Macaca fascicularis: one gene and its partners. The protein of the gene in region 3 interacts with the protein of the main gene of each other region in a biochemical or structural test. Links are inferred from orthologs where the notes say so. Each region holds a gene or a part of one and is shown on either strand. Other genes may lie near its edges.

Region 1 (5,961 bases), on a different chromosome or scaffold from region 3:
TTTACCTAACGGACAATGTCAACTAATGGGATTCTCACCCAAGAACATCTTCACCCAATAGGTTACTTCATCCAGTGGATTGCCTCATCCCAACAATGGCTTCATTCAGTAAAGGTTGTCAGTCACCTTACTGAATAAACAGCCTCAACAAATGGACAACCTTGCCCTTTATTCCCTACCCTGGAACCCAGAAAATTGTTGCATCCTGGTTCTACCTTCTAGACTCCACCTTCTCCTGCTTCCTCTCTTAAGCCCCATCCTCACCCTTTGCAAGGTAGAGCCCCAGAGGTTGCCCACCTGCCTGCCCCCTGGGTCGGGGCCACTCACACATCTGTCCATTGCTGAGGTGAGTGGGCATTGTGTTGGCAACGATGACATTGGTTCCCATGTGTTCCTGCATCAGGTGAGGGTGCAGGGGGTGGTGGGCATGGGGTGCATCGCTGGAGGACCCTGCAGGAAGAGAAGATCGATCAAGATGAAGAGTCTGGGATGCAGACCTCAGGCCTTGGGACGCCATCTTCCTCAGGTGTGACCAATCAACCTGCCCATCCAATATTGGCAATGCCTGTTGGGGACCTATTCCTGGGTTAGTAAACTAGGGTGTACCATTCCCATTCGTAGGCTTCATGAGGGTGTTAAGAAGGCCCCAAAAAACCAAGAGAACAAAAGTGAGTTGAAAGAAACAAGGTGCCTATAAGGAAGCTCTGAGATCAAGTAAATGTTCTAATGAGTAGCGTATTGGATGTAATCAATGGCTCTCAAGGCTCCTTGGCGTGCAAGTCCTTCAACCATTTGGTCCCGCCTCACCTTCCAGCCTCATCCCCCACATCTCTGCTGCAGCCAACTGACCTACTTATAGCATCTATGTGTCCCCTGTGTTTTCCTATCTCTATGCTTCTGCTCACGTTGTTGCTTCCGTCAGAGATGTTTTTTCCACCCCAAACCCGCTCCACGTCCATAAGCCCAAATCCCAGCTCATATATTTCCTCTCTTTAGAAGCCTCTCCTGATTCTCCTCGTTCTCATTCCTTGGATTTCTCATAGTAATTTATCTGTAACACAACTTTTAGGAACAACTACTTCTTCTGTCTATGAGCATTACAATTTCAGATGTATTTTTCTTCTTTCTTTGAGAGCCTAGCAGATTGTCTGGAACACAGTAACCGCTTTAAACATGTGTCAGGGAGTAAAAATACCACATGGGGTATGGTTTAATAATAGCCTATGGTGAGTAATATGACAATGATGGAATTTCAATGCTTGTAAGAGATCTCTACAGCACATCGATCTCAGTGATAAATAACGACTGTTGATAATTAACAATTACCATGTGCCAGGTACTGTTGTATAGCACTTTTCATGTTTTACATAATTTAATCCTTACAACAATCCTATAGAATGGATACTATTATTACCCCATTCTACAGATGAGACAACTAAGCCCAGAGCTCTTAACTATTTGGCAACAGACCACAGGCTCCTGATCCTAATCTCAGTGACACCTGATTCATAGTAACCCCATGTTCACAGGGTCAAAGTGAGAATGAAATAAGCTATCACACAACAGTGGTTCCCAACTGGGGATGATTTTGGCCCATCAGGAGACGTTTGACTATATCCGAAGACATTTTTGGTTGTCACTACTGGAGAAGTGCTACTGGCACCTTATGGGTACAGGACAGAGATGCAGCCAAACAACGCACAGGACAGCCCAGCACAACAAAGAATCGTCCAGTTCCAAGTATCAATAGTACCAGTGTTGAGAAACCTCGCCCTCACTGAAGCACCTCCAAAATCTCGAATTCAACATCCCTACTTTGACTTCACCTTGTGTCCTTCCAGCTCCCTTAATCTAGTACCATCACTGCAAAACTTCTTCAGCCTACTGAGGCTGTCAATTCACTGACACTCTCTTTTCACTATCACCCCATCCTTTTGTTGTTGTTGTTGAGACAGAGTCTTGCTCTGTCACACATGCTGGAGTGCAATGTCACAATCTCGGCTCACTGCAACCTCCGTCTCCTGGGTTCAAGCGATTGTCCTGCCTCAGTCTCCCGAGTAGCTGGGATTACAGGCGCATGCCACCACGTCTGGCTAATTTTTTTTGTATTTTTAGTAGAGATGGTGTTTTACTGTGTTGGCCAGGTTGGTCTTGAGCTCCTAGCCTCAAGTGATCCACCCGCCTCGGCCTCCCAAAGTGCTAGGATTACAGGTGTGAGCCACCGCACCCAGCCTCTGTCTTTATTTCTCTTTGAGTGCAGCCCAGACTGCATGACCTATCATTCTAATCACTCCCTTGCAGTCATCCTAACTCCTTCATACTCCCCTTCACAGTCAAACCATTTCAAAGGGTTATCTACTCTATCTCCACCTTCCCACTTGCTGTCTTTGGAGCACTCTCCAATCTGGTTTCCACTCTCCCAGCTCTCTGAAACTGCTTTCAACACAATTGCCAAGAGCCTCCAGCTGCCAATCCAATGGACTCTTTCCTCTCTCTTCCCCTCCTCCCTTCACCTCTCCATTCCTCCCTCCTTCTTTCTGTCTCTCTGCAGAGTGTAACACCATTAAACACTCTGTCCTTCAAACACGCTCTTCTCTTGGATTCTGGAATTGCCCTGGTTTTCTCCTACCCCTCCGGCCATTCTTCTTCCCTTCCCTCCATGGCTCCATCTTCCCCCGATTCCACAGAGCTGCCTTTAATCTTGTGCTTGAGCAGCAGACTCATACATTCAACTGCCTCCTCGGCAACTTGGACTTGTAATAGTCATCTCATGCTTAATGAAAGTCCACAATGAGGCTGGGCATGGTGGCTCACACCTGTAATCCCAGCACTTTGAGAGGCCAAGTCGGAAGGATTGCTTAAGACCAGGAGTTCAAGACTAGCCTGGGCAACATAGTGAGACGTCGTCTCTATAAAAAATAAAAATGAAAAATTAGCCGGGTATGGTGGCACACACCTGTAGTCCCAGCTACTCGGAAGACTGGAGGATCTCTTGAGCCTGGAAGGTTGAGGCTGCAGTGAGCTATGACTGCGCCACTGCACTCCAGCCTGGGTGACAGAGAGAGATCTCGTCTCAAAAAAAAAAAAAAAAAAAAAGGAAAAAGGAAAAAAAGAGAGTCCACAACGGATCTCTGAGGTCACCCCTCACGACCACCCCCAGACCGCAGCATCAAGTTGTTTATTCTGTCCTCCTCATCTCGGTAAACTACTCCATCATCATTTCTGCTATTCAAAGCAAAAATTTAGACTCTGTCCTTGACTATTCCTCTTCCTGTCACTCCCTACATCTAATCAGTCAGCAAATCCTGTGGGTGTGGGCTCTTCCTCCAAATAGATGATCCGGTTTATCTTCACTGCTCCATTTCCATGGTCCAAGCCTTCATCATCTGTCACATGATTGGAGACAGTGACATTCTCAGGAATCTCTGCAATTTACTTTGTACCCAACAGTCTGAGTGGTTTGTTTAAAGCATTAGTCTGGGCTGGGCATGGTGGCTCATGCCTGTCATTCTAGCAGTTTGGGAGACCGAGGTGGGCAATCACTTGAGGTCAGGAGTTTGAGACCATCTTGGCCGATAGGGTGAAACCCCATCTCTGCTAAAAATATAAAAAAAAGAGCTGGGCGTGGTGGCGGGTGCCTGTAATCCCAGCTACTTGGGAGGCTGCACAGGAGAATTGCTTGAACTTGGGAGGTGAAGGTTGCAGTGAGCCGAGATCCTGCCACTGCACTCCAGCCTGGATGATAGAGGGAAATTTTGTCTCAAAGAATAAAAATAATTAGTCTGGTTTTCACTCTCCTTACAATAGTTGCAATGAGAATAAAATCCAAATTTCTGACAAGGTTTACAAAGCCATATGTTTATGATTTGGTTTCTGCCCAATCTCCATCTTCACCTCCTCCATCTCCTCCATCTCACAACCTTGCCCTTCTTTCTCAAACACACAACTCTCTCCTCTCCGGGGCCCTTGAAGTAGTTCCTTCTTCTTGGAATATTCCTCTCTTTTTTTTTTTTTTTTTTTTTTTTTTTGATGGAGTCTCGCTGTGTTGCCCAGGCTGGAGTGCAGTGGCACGATCTCGGCTCACTGCAAACTCCACCTCCCAGGTTCACGCCATTCTCCTACCTCAGTCTCCCGAGTAGCTGGGACCACAGGCGCCCACCACCACACCCAGCCGATTTTTTGTATTTTTAGTACAGACAGGGTTTCACTGTGTTAGCCAGGATGGTCTCGATCTCCCGACCTCGTGATCTGCCCTCCTTGGCCTCCCAAAGTGCTGGGATTACAGGTGTGAGCCACTGCTCTCTTGTCTTTTAAGCCTTGCACTTCCTTTCAGCCATTAGGGTCTTAGCACAAGAGTCACCATTTCAGAGAGGTCTCCTTTGGCCTCCCCTATCTAAAGAGGATTCCTTTTCAGTTAAACTCTACCATATTACCTGTTTATTTCAAAATCATAAAATGTGAGCCTTTATACACACATGCACACACATACGGGCATATACACAGATATCCATGCATCTATACACACTCACACATACACAGCCTCCCGGAGGGCAAAGATCATGTTCTTCACTGAATTGCCAGCACTCAGAACAGTGACTGGCATGTGCTAGGCTCTCAGCGCCTGAACAGATAGACCATTGCCTTTGTTCCCATTTTTCTGATGAGGAAACTGAGGCACAGATGGGTTAAGCAACTTGCCCAAAGCTGCACAGTGGGGAAGCCAAGGAGCTGAGGGGTGAGCTCAGGTCTGTGTGAGGCTGTCTCCTAGAGAGTCCCCCCTCCAACCCTGCCCCTCCTGGGCCTGGCACGGACCTCCCAGCAGCATCTCCTGCAGCAGGTTGTCGATCTTGGCCATGCCGAAGAGCTTGATGAACTGGATCTGCTCGATCATCTGCCAGGTGATGCTCTGCAGGGTAGGTAGCAGCAGCAGCAGCTCTCCAAAGCGGCCGCGCGAGTCATACTGGCGGTCATTGATGTAGTCTTCCAAGCTCACCTGCACCTGGGAACGCAGCCGCTTGATCTTCCCTGGATCGCTCAGCCCTTTGGCATCTACAATGGAAGAAGGTGGGCAAGGGAGGGCAGTAGGGTCCAGCTGGAGAATCTGGGGAGTCAAGACCCAGATGTCCCCTGACTTGTGTCACACAAGGAGTCTTCAGCAGTGTGGGCACAAGGATTCAGGGACCTCAACAACCAGGGTATGCCAGTATGAATTGTAATTTCCTAGACACAGGCAGAAAAAGATTTCTGCCACGTTTCCTAAGGCACTAAACCAGAAGAGTGGGGAAAAGGAGATGGAGGGCGGGACTTGAGGAACGCATCCAATAAGCACCTAGCAACTGCCTCATCTTACACAAGGGGAAACCCAGACACAGTGCAAGGATAGGGCTTGTCCTGGGTGGCACAGCCAGTTGTTGGCAGAGCCACGATGGGAACTTGGGGTTTTGGGCCACAGTTGAGGTCCCCTCATCCAGACCTCAGCACTTGCTGCCTCTACTGTGTTAGAATAGGCTCCCCTTCCCTGGTTCCTGCTTCCTATCACCTTAGGGACTCAGGTTAGGTTTCATCTCCTCCAGGAAGTCTCCCTTCTACCCTCCTATGTCTGCATCCTGTGTCCTTCCTGTTTCCAAATCTCTGCGGCCCCTCCATCACTGCTGACCACACAGGATGTAATTGTTGTGCCATCCAAAGTTGAGCTCTGCAGGGGCAGGCATATGTCTTATTTGCCATTTTTATTTTATCTTACTTTATTTTATTTTATTTTTTGGGACTGAGTCTCCCTCTGACTCCCAGGCTGGAGTGCAGTGGTGTGATCTCAGCTCATTGCAACCTCTGCCTCCCGGATTCAAGCGATTCTCCTGCCTCAGCCCAGGCACATACCACATCCAGCTAATTTTTGTATTTTAGTGGAGACAGGGTTTCACCATGCTGGCCAGGCTGGTCTCAAACTTCTGACCTCAAGTA
Region 2 (5,961 bases), on a different chromosome or scaffold from region 3:
GCTCCATTTTCATTGGCATACCTTCTGATCTGGGACTTCTCAAGTCATGCTGAAGACAGAGAAGCCAACCCTAGCATGTTCAGGATCAGTTTAACCCATTTTGCATCAATGGCTGGGCAGCTCCTGTACCTGCCCATATGCACCTCACTTTAGCCATGAGTTGCAAGGACAGACTAGGGGACAGAGGGGAACATGATGAAAGGAAGAGGGCACACTTCAATTTAACCTCGTGAAGAGAAACTGAGAGTAGTACTATTTGTGTCAGGGTCCATGTGGGAGGGCAAGGGATAGGGGACTTGAGCATGGGAGAAAAGTGGAGGCTGGGGTTCCTTAGTGAAGGGGGCAGCATTGGAGTAACTGATTCAATGAGTAACTTTCTTTTTAGGACAGCTTTCCCGTGTGTGCAATCTCAGCCTCCATTGGAATCACTGAACCTCAGTATCTGGAAAGGGTCATGAGGGCCCTCTGTCCTACTCCCCACTAGAGCAGCGAAAGATGAAGCCTGTGTAGATGAGTACTGCTGCCTGACATGAGGATGGAAGCCGAGTGCTTCCGTGTTTTTTTCCCTAGCCGTTTACACAAAACAAGACTTTGGTATATGTGGAGTTTGCAAACAGTAACGTGAAGCGTGGAGGAGGGAGTTGGAACTTGTGCTGTATGGAATGTGTTGTCAGTTCCAAGGAAAGGCTCTGAGGGTAAACCCTGTGCTCAGAGCAATGCCTGACTCACATGAGATCTGTCACTTGCTCCTGCCTGCGTGCCTGCCTGCCAGAGGGGCCCTCGCTCCTGTCGCTACAACCAAAATGTGCAATGCAGTAGAAGTGTCTCAGCACTGTCTGCCAGTTTTCTTTTCTTCGCCATTTTCACATTAATTCCAGAGGAAGAGCATTGAAAAATTTCTGGTATTTGGATTGGTGAGAGGCATAAAATAACACAGAGCCAGTTTTCTCAGGGCAGAAACGAACTGGAAAGTTCTGGGTTTAACTCTGTGAATGACCATCATCTCACTGGCAAGGCAGTAATTTAGGCAATAACTGATGGCTTTTCTACACAGCTAAGAGGTTCACAAACGGATATATGGCACCTCATATCTGCTTCCATCCAGAGCCAGCAATGTTAACTCACTTTCCAGCTCCCCGTATTCCAGCACTGAATCTGAGCATTAGTATCTAGGAAGCATTTTTCTCCTTCTACCGGAAATACAGCTATTGCTGCTACTTAAAATGATAATAACGTTGCTTAAGATCGATTTACTTATCTTTCTCAACCATATTGTTTATGTATTTTATGGCAATATGCCAAATGAACTTTTGGGAAGAATTAAGGTACAAACATACATAAATATAGCAATCTCCCAACACATCTACTAAATGTGTCAGTACTCTATTGTTTTAAGAATATTGGCTGGGCGTGGTGGTTCACGCCTGTAATCCCAGGACTTTGGGAAGCTGAGGCCAGCAGATCACTTGAGGTCAGGAGTTCGAGACCAGCCTGGACGACATGGTAAAACCCCGTCTCTACTACTAAAAATACAAAACTAGCCAGGCGTGGTGGTGCGTGCCTGTAATTTCAGCTACTTGGGAGGCTAAGGCAGGAGAATTGCTTGAACCCGGGAGGTAGAGGTTGCAGTGAGTTGAGACTGTGTCATTGTACTCTGGCCTGGGCAACAAGAGGGAAAGTCTTGTCTCAAAATAAAATACAAAAAATTAGCCTGGCATGGTGGCACACTCCTGTAGTTCCAGCTACTTGGGAGGCTGAGGCAGGAGAATTGCTTGAACCCAGAAGGTGGAGGTTGCAGTGAGATCGCACCATTGCACTCCAGCCTGGGTGACAAGAGCGAAACTCTGTCTCAAACAAGAAAAGGAAAAAAAAGAATATTAACACTGTATGAGCATTTAAATATAAGTATTATATACACTGTTAGTGTTACAACAATAAAACATGGGAATAAATGAATGAAATTTATATGAGTGAATTGATAAAGGAGGATCCCTTCTCCAGTAGAACTCCTTATACTTACCTATTTTGGCAAAAAATGTTTCAGTATGGTTAGGAAATGGTCTTTATTTTTTTCTTTTCTGAGACGGGATCTTGCTCTGTTGCCCAGGCTGGAGTGCAGTGGTACAATCATGGCTAACTGCAGCCTTGACCTCCTGGGCTCAAGTGATCCTCCTGCCTCAGCCTCCCTAGTAGGTGGGACTACAGGCATGTGCCACCACACCCAGCTAATTTATAAATTTTTTTTTTTTTTTTGTAGAGAAGAAGTCTCACTATGTTGCTCAAGCTGGTCTGGAATTCCTGGGCTGAACTCCTACCTCAGCCTCTCAAAGTGTTGGGATTATAGGCATGTGCCACCACGCCTGGCCAGGAAATGGTCTTTAAATGGTCTTCATTTTGGTGAAGGATGCCGGGGTCATATATGCCAGGAAACCTGTCTTTCTCCAGGATTCCCAGACTGTTTCACAAGTCTACATGGCCAACCCTTCTCCTCTCTATCACTTCATTCTACTCTCAGAGTTGGGGTGTGGAGGAATCATGTCGTTGAATTTAAAGAGATAATATGAGGATGCCAGTCAAGCCAGCTGGAGTAACACAACAGTGAGCTGGGAGTTCTAGGCCTGGCTCTGACGTGCTGGCTCCAACACCAGGAAGGGATCCTGGCTGGCCATTGGACCTTTCTGGGCTTCTACACCATCATCCAGAAAGTGAGGGGATGGACTAGCTCTCCAGTGCTGGCCTGCAGAGTAATGCAGGATAGGCTGCACTTCATAATACAGATTTCTGGTCCTACGCCAGAGGTTCTGATTTAGCGGGTCTAGGGTAGGGCCTGAATCTCTATTTTAAAAAAGCAATGGAGGCTGGGTGTGGTGGCTCATGCCTGTAATCCCAGCACTTTGGGATGCTGAGGCGGGTGGATCATATGAGGTCAGGAGTTTGAGACCAGCCTGGCCAACATGGCGAAACTCCGTCTCTACTAAAATAAAAAAATTAGGGCAGGGTGTGATGGCTCACGCCTATAATCCCAGCACTTTGGGAGGCCGATGCGGGTAGATCATGAGGTCAGGTGATCGAGAACAGCCTGGCCAACATGGTGAAACCCCATCTCTACTGAAAATACAAAAATTAGCCGGGCATGGTGGCATGCACCTGTAATCCCAGCTACTTAGGAGGCTGAGGCAGGAGAATCGCTTGAACCTGGGAGGTGGCGGTTGCAGTGAGCCGAGATAGCGCCACTGCACTCCAGCCTGGGTGTCAGAGCGAGACTCCATCTGGAAAAATAAAAATACATACATACATACATACATACATACATACATTAGCTGGACATGGTTGTGGATACCTGTAATCTCAGCTACTTGGGAGGTTGAGGCAGGAGAATCGCTTGAATCTGGGAGGCAGAGGTTGCAGTGAGCCAAGATGGCGCCACTGCACTCCAGCCTGGGTGACAGAGTGAGACTCCATTTAAAAAAATAAAAAATAAAAAAAAGGAGTGGTGGATGGGTGATCTCCAGCCCTTCTTATAGCTCAGTCTAGGACTCTGACTCTGTTCCCTAGATACTGCAGAAGTTTCTTACCTGAATCCTGGGATCATCTTAGCAAAGCCAATGACCTTCTGGATGCTGTAACTGACCAGGTCAGCCAGGTGGGGCAGCATGGAAAGCTGGGACAGCTCTAGAGTCAGAGAAGGGTCATCTGAATCTTCTTCACTCAGATCCAGGTTGGAGAAGCTGGACGAGTCCATCATGTCTGGGGGAGATGAGGGAAGAGAAGGAGCTATTTAAGGGTACTTGGACCAGGACCACTCCTGCCAGCCCCTGCAAAGACCTGGTGTGCCCTGGCAGGAGAGCCAGCTGGGAATCCCGCAGTGATTCCAGAGGTCACCCTTCAGCCCAGGCTTCCCTCTGGGACTCTCTCTGCCTCTTTCAGCAGCGTGAGACAGTAAAAGCAAGGAGCCAGAGACACTCAGAGCAATGAGACTTCCTCAGGCAGACCATGTGCTGTTCCTACGGATCTCAATCAGAAATGAATTTGGGACCCATCAACCCATGGAAAAAAATGTTCAACCTTGCTAATGATCAAAGAACTGCAATGTAGAACATCTACACTTTTCACCTATAAACCAGAAACAAAAATGTTTAAATACTGATGCCAGTATTTATAAAGATGTAGGAAATAGGCAATGCCTATGAGGGCTGGGGTGCTAAAGGAGATGCACATTACTGCAGGTAATCTAGAAAGCTATTTGACATTAGTGAAACAATTGTGTGTACTCTTTGACCAGTAATCCCACTTCCCGGAATTCATTGTAAGGGAAAATTTCAGATAAGTGTAAATATTTAGCTATAAGTATACTGTTGTCTTACTAAAACACTGGGAAATAATCCAGATATCCAATAGTAGGGGATTTAGGTACATTATTGTATTCCAAAATACTGTGCAGCCTTTAAAAATTATGTTCTGGATGCATACTAAATTGTAAGGAAAAACAATGCAATATTAAAAAAACAAGTCATCAGATTGTATACAGCAAAATTTCTTTTCTGAATGTACATATGTGTTTTTAAAAAAAGAGGCAAGAGATATATTACAGTGCTAACAGTGATTATCTTTGGGTAGCAGGATTAAAGTATATATATATATATAATTTAGTTTATGTTTTCCAAATGTCTAAGATGAACATGTATTACTTTTGTATAATAATTTTTTTAAAAAATAAAAAGGTTAACTTGTTTGAATTTTTAAATAAATATATGCTATACTGAACACACCACTTGTGGGGAGGGCGGTTTAAGCACCTTGAATCAGTGAACTTACAAGAGGGTATCAAAAAACTCCTAAATAGGCAGGGCGCAGTGGCTCATGCCTGTAATCCCAATACTTTGTGAGGCCAAGGCAGGCAGATCATCTGAGGTCAGGAGTTCGAGACCAGCCTGGCAAACATGGTGAAACCCCATTTCTACTAAAAATACAAAAATTAGCCAGGTGTGGTGGTGGGTGCCTGTAATCCCAGCTACTCTGGAGGCTGAGGCAGGAAAATGGCTTGAACCGGGGAGGCAGAGACTGTGCCACTGCACTCCAGCCTGGGTGACAGAGTGAGATTCTGTCTCAAAACAAAACAAAACACAAGCAAAAACAAAAAACAACAACAAAAAGCCTCCTAAGTAGTATAGAATTACTATTGAAAGCTGAAATACAGAGCAACATATGGATTAAACAGACTGGCCTTAATTGATATAAATAAATATGCTATCAACTGAAAAGAGCAGGAAGGTGAGTACAGAAAAGTGACAAGTGGGAGGGATTCCTACGAGGTGAGGGGCTGGGAGGGTCAGCTGATCATGCAGGGAGCAAGTGTTCTAACTAGTATCTCTGTCCAGGGGCACTGGGACCCTTTCCATCTATTCTGGATCTGGGCAGAGATTCATCACTGAGTATGGAATTACTTTATCTAAGGTTCTAATTGCCTGGAGGGGAAAGTTTTTTCCCATCCCTGCCCTCCTGCAGACCCCAAGCAGAGGACAGCAGGGTCAGGTTAGGGGTAGAGGGAGGAAGGACAAGAGCAGGGGGCAGATGAGGCAGGGTGATGAAGAGGAAGGAAGAAAAAGGCCATAAGAAGGAAAGCATGGGCGGGGCGCGGTGGCTCACGCCTGTAATCCCAGCGCTTTGGGAGGCCAAGGGGGCAGATCACAATGTCAGGAGATGGAGACCAGCCTGGCCAACATGGTGAAACCCCATCTCTACTAAAAATACAAAAATTAGCCAGGTGTGGCGGTACGTGCCTATAGTCCCAGCAACTCAGGAGGCTGAGGCAGGAGAATCGCTTGAACCCAGGAGGCAAAGGTTGCAGTGAGCCGAGATGGTGCCACTGCACTTCAGTCTAGGCAACAGAGCAAGACTCCATCTCAAAAAAAAAAAAAAAAAAAAGGAAGGAAGGAAAGCATGATGCCTCCCAGACTCTCA
Region 3 (6,459 bases):
CACTGTGGCTCACACCTGTAATCCTCGCTAGCACTTTGGGAGGCCAACATGGGAGAATACTTAAGCTGGGGAGTTCAACTACAGCTTGGGCAACATAACAAGATCTCGTCACTACTTTAAAAAAAAAAAAATTTGTCAGGCCAAGCGCAGTGGCTCACACCTGTAACCCCAGCATTTTAAAAAGCCGAAGCAGGCAGATTACCTAAGTCAAGAGCTTGAGACCACCGTGGTCAACATGGTGAAACTCTATCTCTACTTTTTTTTTTTTTTTTTGAAATGGAGTTTTGCTCTGTCACCTAGGCTGGAGTACAGTGGTGCAATCTTGGCTCACTGCAACCTCCGCCTCCCGAGTTCAAGCAATTCCCCTGCCTCAGCCTCCCTAGTAGCTGGAATTATAGGCATGTACCACCACACCCAGCTAATTTTTGTATTTTTAGTACAGACGGGGTTTCACCATGTTGGCCAAGTTGCTCTCGAACTCCTGACCTCAGATGATCCACCCACCTCAGCCTACCAAAGTGCTGGGATTACAGGCCTGAGACACCGCACCCGGCCAAACCCTGTCTCTACTGAAAATACAAAATTAGCCTGGTATGGTGGTGCATGCCTGTAATCCCAGCTACTTGGGAGGCTAAGGCAGGAGAATAGCTTGAATCCAGAAGGCAAAGGCTGCAGTGAGCCGAGATCACACTATTGCACTCCAGCATTAGCAAGAGCAAAACTCTGTCTCAAAAAAAAAGAAAAAGAAAAAAATTAGCCAAGCCTCCTGGCATGTGCCTATAGTCAGTCCCCAGCTACTCTGGAGGCTGAGGCAGAAGGATCACCTTAGCCTGGGAGGTCGAAGCTTCAGAGATGGGCCTTGATCACACCACTTACTCCATCCTGAGCAACAGATGGAGACATTGTGTCAAAAAAAAGTTATTGAACTGGGTTAGAGAGGAAAATTTTTTAAAAAAAGAAAAAGAATAAATGAAATTGCTAAAAAGACAGCAGTGAACAAACCAGACAAAAACTCCTACTTCACAAAGTTTCCATTTTTACCCTTCTCCCCTTGCACCTGAGGAGTACATTTTTTCTTTTTTTTTTTTTTTTTTAAGACAGAGCATCACTCTGCAGCCCCGGCTTAAGTGCATTGGCACAATCAAGGTCTACTGTAGCCTCGACCTCCCATGCTCCAGGATCAAGTGATCCTCCCAGCTCAGCCTTCAGAGTAGCTGGGGCTATAGCTAATTTTTCCTTGAAACAGGGTCTCGCTCTGTCACCCAGGTTGGAGTGCAGTGGCACAATTCTGGCTCACTGGAGCCTTGACCTACAGGATTCAGGTAATCCTCCCACCTCAGCCTCCCAAGTAGCTGAGACTACTGGCTTGTGCCACCATGCCTAGTTAATTTTTATATTTGTTGTAGAGACAGGCTTTTGCCAGGTTGTCCAGGCTGGTCTCCAACTTGTGAGCTCAAGTGATCTGCCTGCTTCGGTCTCCCAAAGTGCTGGGACTACATCCTTGAGTCACTACCTGGCCCTAATTTTTTTTATTTTTTATTTTATTTATTTATTTATTTTTAATTAATTTATTTATATTTTTGAGACAGAGTTTTGCTCTCGTTGCCCAGACTGGAGTCCAGTGGCACCACCTTGGCTCACTGCAACCTCCACCTCCTGGGTTTGAGTGATTCTCCTGCCTCAGTCTCTCAAGTAGCTGGGATTGCAGGCATGCCACCATGCCGGGCTAATTTTGTATTTTTAGTAGAGACAGGGTTTCACCATGTTGGCCAGGCTGGTCTTGAACTCCTGACCTCAGGTGATCCGCCACCTTGGTCTCCCAAAATGCTGGGATTACAGGAATGAGCCACCACGCCCAGCCAATTTTTTTTTTTTTTTTTTTTTTGAGAGGAAGTTTCCCTCTTGTTGCCCAGGCAGGAGTGCAATGGCACAATCTTGGCTCACCACAACCTCCACCTCCTGGGTTCAAGTGATCCTCCCACCTCAGCCTCCCAAGTAGCTGGGATTACAGACATACGCCACCACAGCCAGCTAATTTTGTGTTTTTAGTAGAGCCAGGGTTTCTCCATGTTGGTCAGGCTGGTCTCAATCTCCCAACCTCAGGTGATCCGCCCGCCTCGACTTCCCAAAGTGCTGGGATTACAGGCGTGAGCCACGGCGCCCGGCAATTTTTCATTTTTTTGTAGAGACAGGGCCTCACTATGTTGCCCAGGCAGGTCTCGAACTCCTGGGCTCAAGGGATCCTCCAGCCTCAGCCTCCCAAAGCGCAGGGATTACAGATGTGAGTCACTGCTCCCGCGGGGCCTCACCTTTCGACCTCTCCTCCAAAACACACTCCTTGTTTTTCTTGAGAAACCTGCTGATAAATATCTGCACTTCGATGCTCCAAGATTTTTTGAGCGACTATTACGTTCCAGAAACTATATAAAAATGAATCAGGCAAGGACCCTAATCTGCAAAGCTCAGAGTAAACTGGAGATAAACAAACAATAACACAGCTCACTGTATCAACAGAACTATGCCCAAAATGCCAAGGAAGCATCTAAGCCGGAGTGTGGAACTTTAGAAAATCTTAGTAAAGTTCCCCAGGAAAGTTGTTTTTCTGCAGTTATTAGTTCGGTCAATAAAAGAATTAAATTCAGCACAGTTTAAAAATACACAACAGGCCGGGCGCGGTGGCTCAAGCCTGTAATCCCAGCACTTTGGGAGGCCGAGACGGGCGGATCACGAGGTCAGGAGATCGAGACCATCCTGGCTAACACGGTGAAACCCCGTCTCTACTAAAAAAAAATACAAAAAACTAGCCGGGCGAGGTGGCGGGCGCCTGTAGTCCCAGCTACTGGGGAGGCTGAGGCAGGAGAATGGCGTGAACCCAGGAGGCGGAGCTTGCAGTGAGCTGAGATCCGGCCACTGCACTCCAGCCTGGGCGACAGAGCGAGACTCCGTCTCAAAAAAAAAAAAAAAAAAAAAACAAAAACAAAAACAAAATACACAACAGTACAGGATCTGAACACTTGACATTGTAGGGATCCGCTGGCTGCTAATAAATACAAGGAATTAATCATTTCATTCATGCCAAAATAGTCTCCAGTACGTTTACACACAGCCCTAAATTTATTCAGGCGTCTCTTCTGGAAGGAGATGTAAGCTGGTTTTGTATTCACTAGCCCCGTCTCGCACCACTTTAGGCCAAAAGTGCCCTAGCCGAGCATGAAATCTTCACAGAAGTTGAGAGTCCCCATCACCCCAAAGTCGAAGCTCTATAGTCATCAAGGAGGGTATAGTGACAATCTAAAACTCATACACATTCCCTCTCCCGGACTCTGTGCCCCTCAAGTGGCCCCCATGGGACATCTGCAAGAACCTTCTCTCACAAACTGGCTCCCCCAGTTGTGTCCCGCCCCCTCCTTTCCCCCTCAGTCACTTACCCTCGGTTTCCCCCTGAGCTTTCATCCTGAAGGCGGCGAGAGACTGGATCTGCCACAAAAGGATAAGCCCTTCCCCACCACTAACGGGGGAAACAAGTTGGCTCGGGATTCCAGGACGCAGGGTACCAGCAGTCCCTTACTCTTCGCGGGAAGGATCAGTCTGAAGTCCCCGGCGGCAAGAAGAGAAGGGTGCTCGAGGCCGCCGCCATCTTCCCCAACGGAACTTCCCAAAATTCGCGAGATAAACCGTGGTCCTGCCAGAAAGAGGAAAAGGACAGGGCATCGAAATCTCGCGAATATTGGTCGATGCGTGGGCCTCGCGAGATTTCTTTCAGCCCTGTCTTCTTTGATCTGAGTTGTCTCAGGCCTCACGCCGCTGTATGTAGCTTTCAGCTCCCTTCGGAAACCGGCATTTTTTTGCTTATTTTATTTTAGCAGTTAACTCGCAAATTAACTGATTAATTAACATGTCGCTGTACTTAAAGACTGGCTTTTTTTTTTTTTTTTTTTTTTTGACACGGAGCCTTGCTCTTGTCGCCCAGGCCGGAGTGCAATGGCACGATCTCGGCTCACTGCAACCTCCGTCTCCCGGGTTCAAGCGATTCTCCTGCCTCAGCCTCCCTAGTAGCTGGGATTACAGGCACCCGCCACCACGCCTGGCTAATTTTTGTATTTTTAGTAGAGACGGGGTTTCGCCTTGGCTAGTCACCCGGCCAAGACTAGCATTTCAAAGGGTATCGGTATCAGAAATGTCTCATGAAAAATAAGTTTGGGCCGGGCGCGGTGGCTCAAGCCTGTAATCCCAGCACTTTGGGAGGCCGAGACGGGTGGATCACGAGGTCAGGAGATCGAGACCATCCTGGCTAACACCGTGAAACCCCGTCTCTACTAAAAATACAAAAAAACTAGCCGGGCGAGGTGGCGGGCGCCTGTAGTCCCAGCTACTCCGGAGGCTGAGGCAGGAGAATGGCGTAAACCCGGGAGGCGGAGCTTGCGGTGAGCTGAGATCCGGCCACTGTACTCCAGCCCGGGCTACAGAGCAAGACTCCGTCTCAAAAAAAAAAAAAAAAAAAAAAAGAAAAATAAGTTTAACCTGAGATACTAGACGCAGTAATTACATCCTAAGAAAGATAGTGGCGCGGCCGGGCGCGGTGGCTCACGCCTGTAATCCCAGCACTTTGGGAGGCCGAGGCAGGCGGATCACGAGGTCAGGAGATCGAGACCATCCTGGCTAACACGGTGAAACCCCGTCTCTACCAAAAATAGAAAAAAATTAGCCGGGCGTGGTGGCGGGTGCCTGTAGTCCCAGCTACTCGGGAGGCTGAGGCAGGAGAATGGCGTGAACCCGGGAGGCGGAGCTTGCAGTGAGCGGAGATCGTGACACTGAACTCCAGCCTAGGCGACAGAGCGAGACTCCGTCTCAAAAAAAAAAAAAAAAAAAAAAAAAAGATAGTGGCGCATTGTAACATGATGTTCAAAGCGAGACTAGCACAGTTCATTCCCCTTTTCTCATTTTTTTCGTTTCAAAACTATTTCTGGCTGGCCGCAGTGGCTCACGCCTGTAATCCCCACACTTTGGGAGGCCGAGGCAGGTGGATCAAATGAGGTCAGGAGTTTGAGACCAGCCTGGCTAACATGGTGAATCTCCGTCTCTACGAAAAATACAAAAATTAGCCCGGTGGTGCGCTCCTGTAATCCCAGCTATTCAGGAGGCTGAGGCAGGAGGATCACTTGAACCCATGAAGCGTAAATTGCAGTGAGCAGAGATCATGTCACTGCACTCTAGCCTGGGTGACAGAGTGAGACTCTGTCTCAAAAAAAAAAGAAAAAACTGTATAATTTGCTATCCTCAAACTAAGTGTTCTTCACTTAGTAAGCATCTGTGGAGTCCTAATATGTGTATATTTGGAACTGGTAATACAAACATGAAAACACGACCAGGCACAGAGCTACTCAGGAGGCTGAAGCAGGAGAATCGCTTAAATCCCAGAGGCAGAGGTTGCAGTGAGCCGAGATCATGCTACTGCACTCCAGCCTGAGTGGTAGAGCAAGACGCTGTCTCAGACAAATAAACAACCATAAAAACACAACCCTAGCCTTTGATAGGCTAATCTTATTTAGAGTTCTGAAAATATGATTGTTCACTGTAATCACAGGGGCTCAAATTTTTTTCATTAATTATTATGCCCTAAGTACCAATGCCAGATACCCAACTACACTTTCTCATGGAAACTTTTTATACAAATAAAAAAAATGTCTGTACTAAGTGTTGCTAGTACATTTTTAACTTTATAAAGCTTATAAATAAGCTTTACTAACTTCTGGTTACACAATCGAATGAGAAGTTATTTGTCATCTGAAAATGCAGATGAAACACACCATTGGAAAAGTTCTACTCTAGAAGATAACAGAGCAATGTCCTTTGGGAGGCTGAGGCGGGCACTTGAGGTCAGGAGGTCGAGACCAGCCTGGCCAAAATGGTGAAACCCCATCTCTACTAAAAATACAAAAAATTAGCCCAGTGTGGTGACACATGCCTGTAATCCCAGCTACTGGGGAGGCTGAGGCAGGAGAATCGCTTCAATCCGGGAGGTGGAGGTTGCAGTGAGCCAAGATCGTGCCATTGCACTTCAGTCTGGACAACAAGAGCAAGACTCCGTCTCAAAAAAAAAAAAAGCAATGTCATTAAACAAGAAAAGTGGCCGGGCGCGGTGGCTCACGCCTGTAATCCCAGCACTTTGGGAGGCCGAGACGGGCGGATCACGAGGTCAGGAGATCGAGACCATCCTGGCTAACACGGTGAAACCCCGTCTCTACTAAAAAAAATACAAAAAACTAGCCGGGAGAGGTGGCGGGCGCCTATAGTCCCAGCTACTCGGGAGGCTGAGGCAGGAGAATGGCGTGAACCCGGGAGGCGGAGCTTGCAGTGAACTGAGATCCGGCCACTGCACTCCAGCCTGGGTGACAGAGCAAGACTCCATCTCAAAAAAAAAAAAAACAAAACAAGAAAAGTATTCAAGGTACATATAGG
Region 4 (5,961 bases), about 650 kb from region 3:
CTGTGAGTCTGGTGGTAACTCCTGAAGCTGCCAGCTCAACTGGGACCTAGGTGGCCTGAGTTCCCCTGCACCCAACCTTCTGGAAGGCGTGAGGGAGACCTGACCTTTCAGCCTCGTAGGAAGTAGACGGGAGTAATCCCCAGGGGGCGTGGAGCACAGAACTGTCTGTGACTGTGACCCTGGCCAAGGTCACTGTGTCAGTGTGTTGGGAGCTGCATCCGGCTCCAGGAGGAAGGGGCCTGCAACATGCCACACACAGGGTGGGTGCGGGAGCTTATACAATCCTTGCATGCATGTAGAGGGTTTATGTAACCTGTGTGCACTGAGGTTATGTAACATGTATGTGGAGAGCCTGGCAACATATATGTGCAGTGGCTGAGGGTTGCTAATAATACCTTGCACAGAGGGGCTCAGTCCTGGCTCTGACTCCAGCTCATGGTGTCACCAGGCACAAGTAGGGTCTCAGTTTGCTGCTTTGTTAAATGGAGGCTGTGCAGGGGGTGACTCTAGTGTTTTCCATTGCTGTGGGTTATTTAGCATGTATGTATGATCTGGAGCTCAAGCAACACGTGCACACTGGCGGGATGAGGGTGGTTTTATGAGGTGCCTGTGCAGAGTGTTGTGTAACACCGGGCCATATCCTAGAGGTTGTATAGCACATTTAAGAATGCCCTGAAAATTTCACAGATATGTCAGCCCTGGTGCATACTCACCATCCGTGGGTTTATAGTGAAAGCTGCATGGTTATTCATCTGCGCCGGTGTTATGTTGCATATGTATGTGTGTGTTCTAAAGGTTACATAGCTTTAAGCATATCCTGAGAATTCTTCCAGCGTATTTGTCGTGTACTGAAAGATGAGGATGTCCTGCGGATTGTGGGTGCTTCAGGTCTTCTGGTGGGTGAATGTGTGTGTGTTGGGGCTCTAGAACATGCTTGTGCCACAGCCAAGCCCCTTATCTCTCTCCCCTGCAAATTCCAGATAGCTGGACCCTTTTAAGCATTGTCAGCTGACCCTGGGGGTGGGAGGTAGAATGAGGACACAAAATGGAGCCTGGGGGGGATTGTATAAGCCTCTTGGATGAGAAAGGGGCCACCCGAAGACTGCTCTGTGATTCTGCCCACTTTGCCCCCATCCAGTGCCAGGTCACCAGATGGAAAGCGAAAAAGAAAGAACGGCCAATGTTCCCTGAAAACCAGCATGTCAGGTGAGGCTGGCTGTGCGTGCCCCTTCTCCACGTCCCCGACCCCACCAAACCCAGCCAGGGCTCCCTCTGGACCTGGACGTGGAACAGTAGTTCCTGTGTTCCCTGGGGGGAGCTTCCTAGAGGGCTTGGGATGGACTTGTCTGGGGCTGAGAAAGGTGATGATGGATGTGCCCAGCTTTTGAGGGTGGATTAGGTCAGGAAGGCCTCTTCCCTCCCCCTAGTACTCTCATCTGAGGCCCCACCAGAATCAGGGCCTGAGCTGAAGGACTGAGGGGCTGTGTTATCCCCAGTGAGCTGCTGAGATTTATTTTTCCCTCTCCACCATCCTCTGCCTTGTAGATAGAGCAAGAAGAAAGCCCTGAGTGGGTAGTCAGAAGAACTGAGATTCTTCATACTCTTAGGGCAGAGGATGGACAGGTTCACCTCCCGTCTCTCTAGGATTCTACCAGGGAGGCTGGGCTAGGAGAGGGGCCAGAAACAAAAAGTTGAGGGATGGGGAAAAGTGTGAGAGCCCCTCTGCTGGGACTTCAAGCCATGCCTGCCTTCCTCCATCCTTTCCTTCCTCCCAGGGTATATCCCTAGTTACCTGGACAAAGACGAGCAGTGTGTCGTGTGTGGGGACAAAGCAACTGGTTATCACTACCGCTGTATCACTTGTGAGGGCTGCAAGGTATGGAAGCTACCTCCTGCCCCTCCCCTGCCACCTGAGCCCCCGTCTTACTCCCTGTGTCACCTAAAGCCCCCCTGTTAGGTCATCACTTTTTTTTTTTTTTTTTTTTCTGAGACGGAGTCTCATTCTCGTTGCCCAGGCTGGAGTGCAGTGGCGTGATCTCGGCTCACTGCAATCTCCACCTTTGGGTTCAAGCGATTCCCCTACCTTGGCCTCCCGAGCAGCTGGGATTACAGGCATGTACCACCACACCCAGCTAATTTTTTTGTATTTTTAGTAGAGACGGGGTTTCACCAACAGTGTTAGCCAGGCTGATCTCAAACTCCTGACCTCAGGTGATCCACCCGTCTCGGCCTCCCAAAATGCTGGGATTACAGGAGTGAGCCACCGTGCCTAGCTATTTTCTCTTCTCTTATTCATTCATTTGCTCATTCATAATTCCTCCTCTGCCACTCACAGGAAAATTGCCTAACTTCTTTGAGCCTTAGTTTCAGTTTCTTCATCTATAAAATGGGGATAATCATTCTCTCTACCTTATGGCATTGTTGGGAGAATGAAATAATTCACCTGAAGTGTTGAAAACAGTGCCACCGGGTGCTGTGTCTCATGCCTAAAATCCCAGCCCTTTGGGAGGGAGGCCAAGGTGGGAGCATCCCTTGATCCCCCGAGTTTGAGACCAGCCTGGCCAACACAGTGAGACCCTGACTCTCCAAAATTAAAGAAGTTAGCTGGGTGTGGTGCCACATGCCTGTGGTCCCAGCTGCTCAGGAGGCTGAGGTGGGAGGATTGCTTGAACGCAGAAAGTCAGGGCTGCATTGAACGGTGGTGGTGCCACTGCACCACTTGCTCTGGTGACAGAGCAAGATTCTGTCTCAAAATAAAATAACAAAATATAAAAAATAAAACAGTGCCACGCCCATAAGAAGCATTTAATAAAAAATGCCAGCCATCAGCCATTCATTCAGTGTATTATTAGGTGTGAGAGTGTAGTACATACCTTGCCCTCAAGCTGCTCACAGCCTGTCAGAGAGAGACACAACTTGAGACAAACATCAGCAAACATCAGTGTTATTCAAAATGTGGTTCGTGGACCATCTGCCCTACTAGTTAAAATGCAGATTCCCAGGCTTCATCTTTTTTTTTTTTTTTTGAGACAGCATCTTGCTCTGTCGCCCAGGCTGGAGTGCAATGGCACGATCTCGGCTCACTGCAACCTCCACCTCCCAGGTTCAAGCGATTCTCCTGCCTCAGCCTCCCGAGTAGCTGGGACTACAGGTGCCCACCACCATGGCCGGCTAGTTTTTATATTTTTAATAGAGATGGGGTTTCACCATTTTGGCCAGGACGGTCTCGATCCCTTGACCTCGTGATTCGCCTGCCTTGGCCTCCCAAAGTGCTGGGATTACAGGCGTGAGCCACCGCACCCGGCCTGCCCAGGCTTCATCTTAACCCTACTCGCTCAGAGCCCTTTTGTGGAGCCCAGGGATCTTCCTTTTAACAGAATCCTGGAGTGTTTCCAATGCACCTGAAAGAGCAAGAGCCAGTGCTGGGGGTGTAGTGGGAGCTGGGAGCACAGAGGAGAAGAAGACAGCAGGTTCTTCCTGGCAGAGGGGACAACAAGGTCATAGACTTTGGGAGGCCTAACTGTTTTGTTTTGTTTTGTTTTGTTTCTTTGAGACGGAGTCTTGCTCTGTTGCCCAGGCTGGAGTGCAGTGGTGCGATCTTGGCTCACTGCAACCTCTGCCTCCGGGGTTCAAGCAGTTTTCCCTGCCTCAGGCTGGGTAGCTGGGATTACAGGCACCCGCCACTAAACCTGGCTAATTTTTGTATTTTTAGTAGAGATAGGGTTTCACCATGTTGGCCAGGCTGGTCTCGAACTCCTGACCTCAGGTGATCTGCCTACCTCTGCCTCCTAAAGTGCTTGAGAGGCCTAATTAGATTTCACTTTGATCATTTCAGCCTGGATAGCCTTTCCAGGATCACCTCCTAAAAATTCAAGGCCTTCCAAGAAACAGAATTATTTAAATCCCAGCACTTTGGGAGTCCAAGGCAGGCAGATCACCCGAGGTTGCATTGTTTTCAACACTTCAAGTGAATTATCTGATTTAATTCTCCCAACAGTGCTATCAGGTAGATAAAATGATTATCCCCATTTTATAGATGAAGAAACTGAGACTCAGATAGGTTCAGCAATTTTCCTGTGAGTGACAGAGAAGGGGTTATGAATGAGCAAATGAATGAATGAGTAAGGTCAGGAATTTGAGACCAGCCTGGCCAACATGGTAAAACCCTGTCTCTACTAAAAATACAAAAATTAGCTGGGTGTAGTGATGCATGCCTGTAATCCCAGCTACTTGGGAGGCTGAGGCAGGAGAATCTCTTGAACCAGGGAAATGGAGCTTGCAGTGAGAGCAGAGATTGCATCACTGCACTCCAACGTGGGTGACAGAGCGATACTCTGTCTCAAAATAAAAAAAAAAAAAGAAAAGAAACAGAATTATTTATATGTTAAAGGCCAGGTATGGTAGCTCACGCCTGTAATCCCAACACTTTAGGAGGCCAAGGCGGGAGGATTGCTTGAGCCCAGGAGTTTAAGAACAGCCTGGGCAACATAGTGAGACCCTGTCCCTACAAAAAAATGTTAAAAGCAGCCAGGCATGGTGGTGCACGCACACCTGTGGTCCCAGCTACTCAGGCAGCTGAGGTAGGAGGATCACTTGAGGCTGGGAGGTCCAAGCTGCTGTGAGCTGTGATTACGCCATTGCACTCTACCCTGGGTGACAGAACAAGACCCTGTCTCAAATAAAAAAGGAAAAAAAGGTTAAGGCTTGAAGTTTCTCTCTGTTTCTTGGTGTCAACCAAACCAAGACCATGAGGGATTTAGAGTTCCCTAGCAGTGGCAATACAATCCTGGAAGCAATACAAACAGTGTAGCATAGAGAAAGGATCTTTTACTCTTATGGACATCTGAGTCCCAGGGAGACACCCTGAAAAGGCAGAGATGCCTTGGCCCCACCCTTGGAGAGTTTGATTTTGTAGTTCTGGGGTGAGACCCAGGAATCTGCATCTTTGGTAGGTGCTTTTGGTGATTTTTTTTTTTTTCAAGACGGAGTTTTGCTCTGTCACCCAGGCTGGAGTGCAGTGGCGTGATCTCAGCTCACTGCAACCTCTGCCTCCCAAGTTCAAGCACTTCTCCTGCCTCAGCCTCCTGAGTATCTCGGATTACAGGCGCCTGCCACCACACCTGGCTAAGTTTTTCACTTTTAGTAGAGACGAGGTTTCACGATGTTGGCCACGCTGATCTCGAACTCCTGACCTTGTGATCCACCCACCTCAGCCTCCAAACCAAAGTGCTGGGATAATAGGCATGAGCCAACATGCTCAGCTGCCTTTGGTGATTTTAATGCCCCCTGGAATCTGAGAGCTCAGACCTTGGTGTCCCATACCTGAGGCTCAGTTCTGACTCTGCTACCCACTGGCCACATGACTTTGGGCAAATTGCTTCATCTCGCTAACCTTCAGTTTCCTTGTCTGCAAAGTGGAGGCAGTAACAGTTCCTACCTCATAGGATTGTCCAGAGGGTTCAGAGTGATGTTCCATGAAAGACAAAGCTTATCTTTTGCAGGTTTTCTTGTTTTTTTTTTTTTTTTTGAAATGGGGTCTCTTGTCACCCAGGTTGGAGTGCAGTGGTGCAGTCAGCTTACTGCAGCCTTGACCTCCTGGGCTCAAGCAATCCTAAGCAATCCTCCCACCTCAGCTTCCAGAATAACTGGGACTATAGGTGCACCTCACAAACCCTGGCCAATTTTTGTATTTTTAGTAGAGATGGAGTCTCACTATGTTGGACAGGCTGGTCTTGATCTTGAACTCCTGGCCTCAAGTGATCTGCCTGCCTCGGCTTCCCAAAATGCTGGGATTACAGGTGTGAGTCATTGTGCCTGGCCAGCAAGGCTTATCTTTACTAAGTGATTGACACATTGTAAATGTGAAAAAAATATTAATTCTTCATATTATTGGAATCATCTTGATTTTTGAAGTGTTTCCTTTAAAATAAAGGTGGGGCTGGGCACAGTGGCTCACGCCTG
Region 5 (5,961 bases), on a different chromosome or scaffold from region 3:
AAGTTGTAATACTGCCACAGTTACTTTTATCCTGGAAACAATTTGTCATTAACATTAAATTGTGATTTCACTATAAGACGACTCTAAAATTGAAAGTAAAGTAAAAATCATTTTTCAAATCCAAATAACTCCGTTAACAGTGACTTAAGTTCAGACCAGGCGCAGTTGTTCATCACGTCTATAATCCCAGCACTTTGGGAGGCCAAGGCAGGCGGATCATTTGAGGTCAGGAGTTCAAGACCAGCCTGGCCAACATGGTGAAACCCTGTCTCTACTAAAAATACAAAAAAAAAAAAAATGAGCTAAGCATGGTGGCACGCGCCTGTAATCCCAGCTACTCAGGGGGCTAAGGCACTAGAATCGCTTGAACCCAGGAGGTGGAGGTTGCAGTGAGCCGAGATCGCGCCATTGTACTCCAGTCTGAGTGACAGAGCGAGACCCTGTCTCAAAAAAAGAAAAAGAGTGACTTAAGTTCAGTCTTTACTGTATAAAGACAATAGTCATGATAGCAAATTCTCCCCACAACACTGATGTACACATACCACTTTTTAATGAGAACTAAAGTATCAGAATAGAACAGGGCATCCTGTGTTTTGGGTGCTCTAAGTAAACTATGTAATTAATAAAATAAAGAACTTAGGCCAGGCGCAGTGGTTCACGACTGTAATCCCAGCACTTTGGGAGGCCAAGGCGGGTGGATCACGAGGTCAGGAGATCGAGACCATCCTGGCTAACATGGTGAAACCCCCTCTCTACTAAAAATACAAAAAATTACCCAGACGTGGTGATGGGCACCTGTAGTCCCAGCTACTCGAGAGGCTGAGGCAGGAGAATGGCGTGAAATCGGGAGGTGGAGCTTGCAGTGAGCCAAGATGGTGCCACTGCACTCCAGCCTGGGCGACAGAGCGAGACTCCGTCTCAAAAAAATAAAAATTAAAATTAAAATAAAGACCTTGTCTAACATATTATTTCCTTCTCACTAAACCATAAAGTGATTTGAGAAATGGCTAGGAACTATAATTCAGAATGAAGACTGGACTTACCTGTTTACAGGTAAGGTGTGTTCTAGTGATCTTGCTTCACACCAGGGACTCTTTTGAGGTTCTGCATATAGATGTGATAACTGGCGATGGACTGCTAAAGGAGAAAGGTGTCCAGGTGTTGGCCACAACACATTTGGGCTTGCGGTCTGCCGACCAGGCCCACCTTCCAAGTTAGTGACATTGCTGGGACTGCTGTAATTCATCACAGCAGGGCTATAGAATGTCATGGCTGGATATTCATGGTGGCTCTCTACATAGGAGGAAGGTATGTATATAGAGCCGTGCTCCAGGGGTAAGATGGATTGACTGCAGTTGTAGGAGGAAGGAGAATTAAGGCTAGATGGTGAATTTTTTATATCCATGTCTTGAGATAACAGCTGAGAAAACACCTTGCAAGAAGAGGCACAAAGGTCATTATAATGTTCTCAAAGATTCGTGGGCAAGTATAATGGCTGTAAAGAAACACAGAGGATATTGCCAAGTTAGTTAGAGCTACAGGTGTAACTACAAAAATTTAAATATTTTCATTAAAAAAATACACACATTTGTATGAGATTACAAATACATCCTGAAAATATATATATGAAAATATTAACCTCAGAGGAGTGGGAATGTGAGGCATGAAACTCACATTTTCTGCTTCATTCATCTCTTCATTGTTTGTTTGTTTAATCAACAGTTTAAGCACAAGAGTTTAATGATGAAAATTTATTATAAAATAGTCTTTAAAACTAGAAAACACAGGATTAAATAAAAATGAAAGTTGTTATGGAAAAATAAGCAAGAATAACCAAGTAAACCCTAAAAGAGAAGATCAATGAGCAAGGCTAGTCTCAACCAATATTAAAATACACTGAGGCCAAGTGAGTGAGTTACGCCTGTAATCCCAACACTTTGGGAGCCTGAGGTGGGTGGATCACTTGAGGTCAGGAGTTCGAGACCAGCCTGGGCAACATGGTGAAACCTCATCTCTACAAAAATTAGCCAGGCATGGTGGCATGTGCCTGTTGTCCCAGCTACTCAAGAGCCTGAGGCAGGAGGATTGCTTAAACCCAGGAGGCAGAGTTTGTAGTGAGGAGAGATCATGCCACCGCACTCCAGCCTGGGTGATAGAGTAAGACCATATCTCAAAAAAAATAAAAAAGAAAACATGTTATGAATCTTCAATAATGAAAGACAACAGGTATTAGCAGAAGAGACTGACCAGTGTAACTGTGTCACTTATCAATCTGTTGCCTCTAGGTTTTGTTTTGCTTTTGTCTTTTTTTTGTTTTTGAGACAGGATCTCACTCTGTCACCCAGGCTGGAGTGCAGTGGCGTGATCTCAGCTCACTGCAACCTCCTGCCTCCCAGGTTCAAGCGATTCTCCTGCCTCAGCCTCTCAAGTAGCTGTACTACGGGTGTGTACCACCATGACTGGCTAATGTGTTGTATTTTTTAGTAGAGATGGGGTTTCATCATGTTGGCCAGGCTGGTCTCGAACTCCTGATCTCAAGTGATCCACCTGCCTCGGTCTCCCAAAGTGCTGGGATTACAGGCGTAAGCCACCACACCTGGCCTACCTCTCAGTTTTGAATGTGCCCTTCAATTTTTGCTCTACAGTAAACAACATAATTTTTGCATGTAAAGTGAGCACAAAGCTGGGGGTACTGGCTCATTACAGGCAAATCTTTTTTTTTTTTTTTTTTGAGACAGAGTTTCGCTCTTGTTACCTAGGCTGGAATGCAATGGCGCCATATCAGCTCACTGCAACCTCTGCCTTCCAGGTTCAAGCAATTATCATGCCTCAGCCTCCTGAGTAGCTGGGATTACACGCAAATGCCACCACACTAATTTTTGTGTTTTTAGTAGAGACAGGGTTTCACCATGTCGGCCAGGCTGGTTTCGAACTTCTCGCCTCAAGTGATCTGACTGTTTTGGCCTCCCAAAGTGCTGGGATTACAGGTGTGAGCCACTGTGCCTGGCCACAGTAATAGACAATATAATATCTGAGGTATAATTCATCACTTTCTTTCCCAAAACCACTCATTCCCTATTTGTGTTAATAGAAAAAGCCTATTATAGTTACCTTTGACTTCTCCCCTTGACTCAGTTAACTTTAATCACCAAGGCACGTTGGTTTTTTTTCCCAATGCCTTTTTTCCTCTGTCTGTCTTTTGCTGCCATCTTGAAGTAAGCTCTCATTACTTTTTTTTTGCTTTTTTTTTTTTTTTTGAGATGGAGTCTCACACTGTCACCCAGCCTGGAGTGCAGTGGCGCGATCTTGGCTCACTACAACTTCCACCTCCCAGGTTCAAGCGATTCTCCTATCTCAGCCTCCCAAGTAGTTGGGATTACAGATGCCTATCACCAAACCCGGCTAATTTTTTGTATTTTTAGTAGAGGCGGCATTTCACCATGTTGGCCAGGCTGGTCTCGAACTCCTGACCTTATGATTTGCCCACCTCAGCCTCCCAAAGTACTGGGATTACAGGTGTAAGTCACCGTGCCTGGCCCAAAGTTTTTGTGTGTGTGTGTATTAAAATACAGGTAACATAAAATTTACCATCCTAGCCATTTCTAAGTATAAAGTTCAGTAGTGTTAAGTATATTCACATTGTTGTGCAACCAATCTCTAGAACTCATTTCATCTTGCAAAACTAAAAGCCTCTATCTGTTAAACAAATTCCCCACTCCTCCCCTCCCCCAGCCCCTGGCAACCACCAGCCTACATTCTGTCTCTATGGATGTGATGACTCTGGGTACCCAGCAGTGGTGAAACCAACTATCAGACCACACCAACAAACGACAAACGCCAGGATGCACCTAGCCAATCAATCAGGTGCATGGCAACTTTGCTTAGAAAATATAGATCTCACATCTCAACATATCACCAATCAACTTGTGTAGAATTTCCACATACCCCCAAAGGGATGATAATTACAGTCAGAGAACTGACTTCTGGAGAGTCATTAAAAGGCTAGGTGCTTTTTGTTTGGATATATTTCAGATATACCAGATTCATGTGATTCACAGATTCACTCTTTGTCAGTGGCATCTTGAATAGATAGGAACTTGGTAGCCAAGGCAAAGATTTTTTCTTCCTAAGCAGAGCCATAATAAGGGGAAGGAATGATGAACTTACACCATTGTAATAGTTCTCTGAGACAGGACAACAGGTAGTAAAAAAAATTAAAAAGGGGGGGGTCTCTTCTCTACCAGAGGTCTATAAAAATAAATCAACAAACCCATTCTGGTTGAGAAGCCCTCCTCTAAAACAGAGATATAAACTGGTCAAAGGAAAGACTCCCCAAAAGATTTAATTTAACATTGTAAGGCAGCATTTTCCCAACACATCGTTTGAATGTTCAAACATGGCCTCAGTACAATGTTCTGGTACAACAGGAAAAAAAAAGTCTCTAAAGAGTTTAATTGTTGGGCCTGGCATGGAATTTCACCTGGCCAACCAAAGAACCAGTACCAGACATCCTGATTCTAAGAATTATTCATTTATTTGCATGTCAATTTTCTTTAATTAGTCACCATAACCTAAAATAGTTGGTCCATATCCTGGGTGGGGAACAGCCTGTGTTCTGTCTAGAGATTTCTCTCACTCCCCCAGCACATACCCCTCTGTTTGGCCCTCTCAGGTCACATCCGAATTCAGCCAGAAAGCTTTTTGTACACATGGGATCATGCATGGTGTTCTAACATACTGGCTGGGGAACATACTATGGCTTCTGAATTTAAAAAAAGGTATTTAAAATTCCCAATATTGACAGTGATTCATGGAGAAGAAAAAGGTTGGCCCTAGAAATGGCAGAAAGACACTCCAAAAAGACTAGACTGATTTTTATCAAAGCAACTATAAATCTAGTTAATAAGAAATCAGGGCCGGGCGTGGTGGCTCACACCTGTAATACCAGCACTTTGGGAGGCCAAGGCGGGCAGATCATGAGGTCAGGAGTTCGAGACCAGCCTAACCAACATGGTGAAACCCCATCTCTACTGAAAATACAAAAATTAGCTGAGTATGGTGGTGCATACCTGTAATCCCAGCTACTTGGGAGGCTGGGGCAGTAGAATTGCTTGAATCTGGGAGGCGGAAGTTGCAGTGAGCCGAGATCATGCCACTGCACTCCAGCTGGGCGACAGGGAGAGATTCCATTTAAAAAAAAAAAAAGAGAAATCAGTCACCTGGGCATGGATGGGTCATGCCTGTAATCCCAGCACTTTGGGAGGCCGAGGTGGGTGGATCACCTGAGGTCAGGAGTTCAAGACCAGCCTGAACAACATGGAGAAACCCAGTCTCTACTAAAAATACAAAATTAGCCAGGCGTGGCAGCGCATCCCTGTAAACCCAGCTACTCAGGAGGCTGAGGCAGGAGAATCACTTGAACCGGGGAGGTGGAGGTTGCGGTGAGCTGAGATCGCACCACTGCACTCCAACCTGGGTGACGAGCAAAACTGTCTCAAAAAAAAAAAAACAAAAAAAAAAACAAAAAAAAAACAAGGTCAGCCACCATCAAGCCTGTTCTTATGTATATTCTATCAACGGACAGAGCAGAACAATCATTCTAGCCCCAGCTCTGCCTGAAAGTCAGGCAATCTTAGACAAATCCACAAATTCCCTGAGCTGCCACATCTTCTTCAGTAGAAACAGGTACCTATTTGGTGCTGTATCTTTTCACAGTGCTCTAAGGATGAAATGAGATGTCTGTGAAAGGATTCTGAGACCGGGCACGGTGGCTCACACCTGTAATCTCAGCACTTTGGGAGGCCAAGGTGGGCAGATCATGAGGTCAGGAGGTCGAGAGCATCCTGGCTAACACAGCAAAACCTTGTCTCTACTAAAAATACAAAATTAGCCGGGCATGGTGGTACATGCCTGTAATCCCAGCTACTCGGGAGGCTGAGGCAGGACAATCACTTGAACCCA

The links.
Region 1: the proteins of MED1 (region 3) and HNF4A form a complex in vitro, tested with the Homo sapiens proteins (2 studies listed by BioGRID). The link is inferred for Macaca fascicularis from reciprocal best matches to the Homo sapiens genes MED1 and HNF4A.
Region 2: the proteins of MED1 (region 3) and VDR form a complex in vitro, tested with the Homo sapiens proteins (5 studies listed by BioGRID). The link is inferred for Macaca fascicularis from reciprocal best matches to the Homo sapiens genes MED1 and VDR.
Region 4: the proteins of MED1 (region 3) and THRA form a complex in vitro, tested with the Homo sapiens proteins (6 studies listed by BioGRID, with this or other methods). The link is inferred for Macaca fascicularis from reciprocal best matches to the Homo sapiens genes MED1 and THRA.
Region 5: the proteins of MED1 (region 3) and ESR2 form a complex in vitro, tested with the Homo sapiens proteins (2 studies listed by BioGRID). The link is inferred for Macaca fascicularis from reciprocal best matches to the Homo sapiens genes MED1 and ESR2.

The regions. Positions count from the first base shown.
Region 1 is NC_088384.1:100,499,989-100,505,949, reverse strand, and holds part of HNF4A (hepatocyte nuclear factor 4-alpha), read right to left. Parts: intron 5,050-5,961; coding exon 4,813-5,049; intron 451-4,812; coding exon 298-450; intron 1-297. UniProt on the Homo sapiens protein: Transcriptional regulator which controls the expression of hepatic genes during the transition of endodermal cells to hepatic progenitor cells, facilitating the recruitment of RNA pol II to the promoters of target genes. Activates the transcription of CYP2C38.
Region 2 is NC_088385.1:54,594,933-54,600,893, forward strand, and holds part of VDR (vitamin D3 receptor), read right to left. Parts: intron 3,748-5,961; coding exon 3,576-3,747; intron 1-3,575.
Region 3 is NC_088390.1:60,494,496-60,500,954, forward strand, and holds the start of MED1 (mediator of RNA polymerase II transcription subunit 1), read right to left. Parts: upstream 3,648-6,459; 5' UTR 3,454-3,647; coding exon 3,429-3,453; intron 1-3,428. UniProt on the Homo sapiens protein: Component of the Mediator complex, a coactivator involved in the regulated transcription of nearly all RNA polymerase II-dependent genes.
Region 4 is NC_088390.1:61,145,851-61,151,811, forward strand, and holds part of THRA (thyroid hormone receptor alpha), read left to right. Parts: intron 1-1,138; coding exon 1,139-1,206; intron 1,207-1,775; coding exon 1,776-1,876; intron 1,877-5,961.
Region 5 is NC_088381.1:132,119,652-132,125,612, forward strand, and holds part of ESR2 (estrogen receptor beta), read right to left. Parts: intron 1,496-5,961; 5' UTR 1,406-1,495; coding exon 1,044-1,405; intron 1-1,043.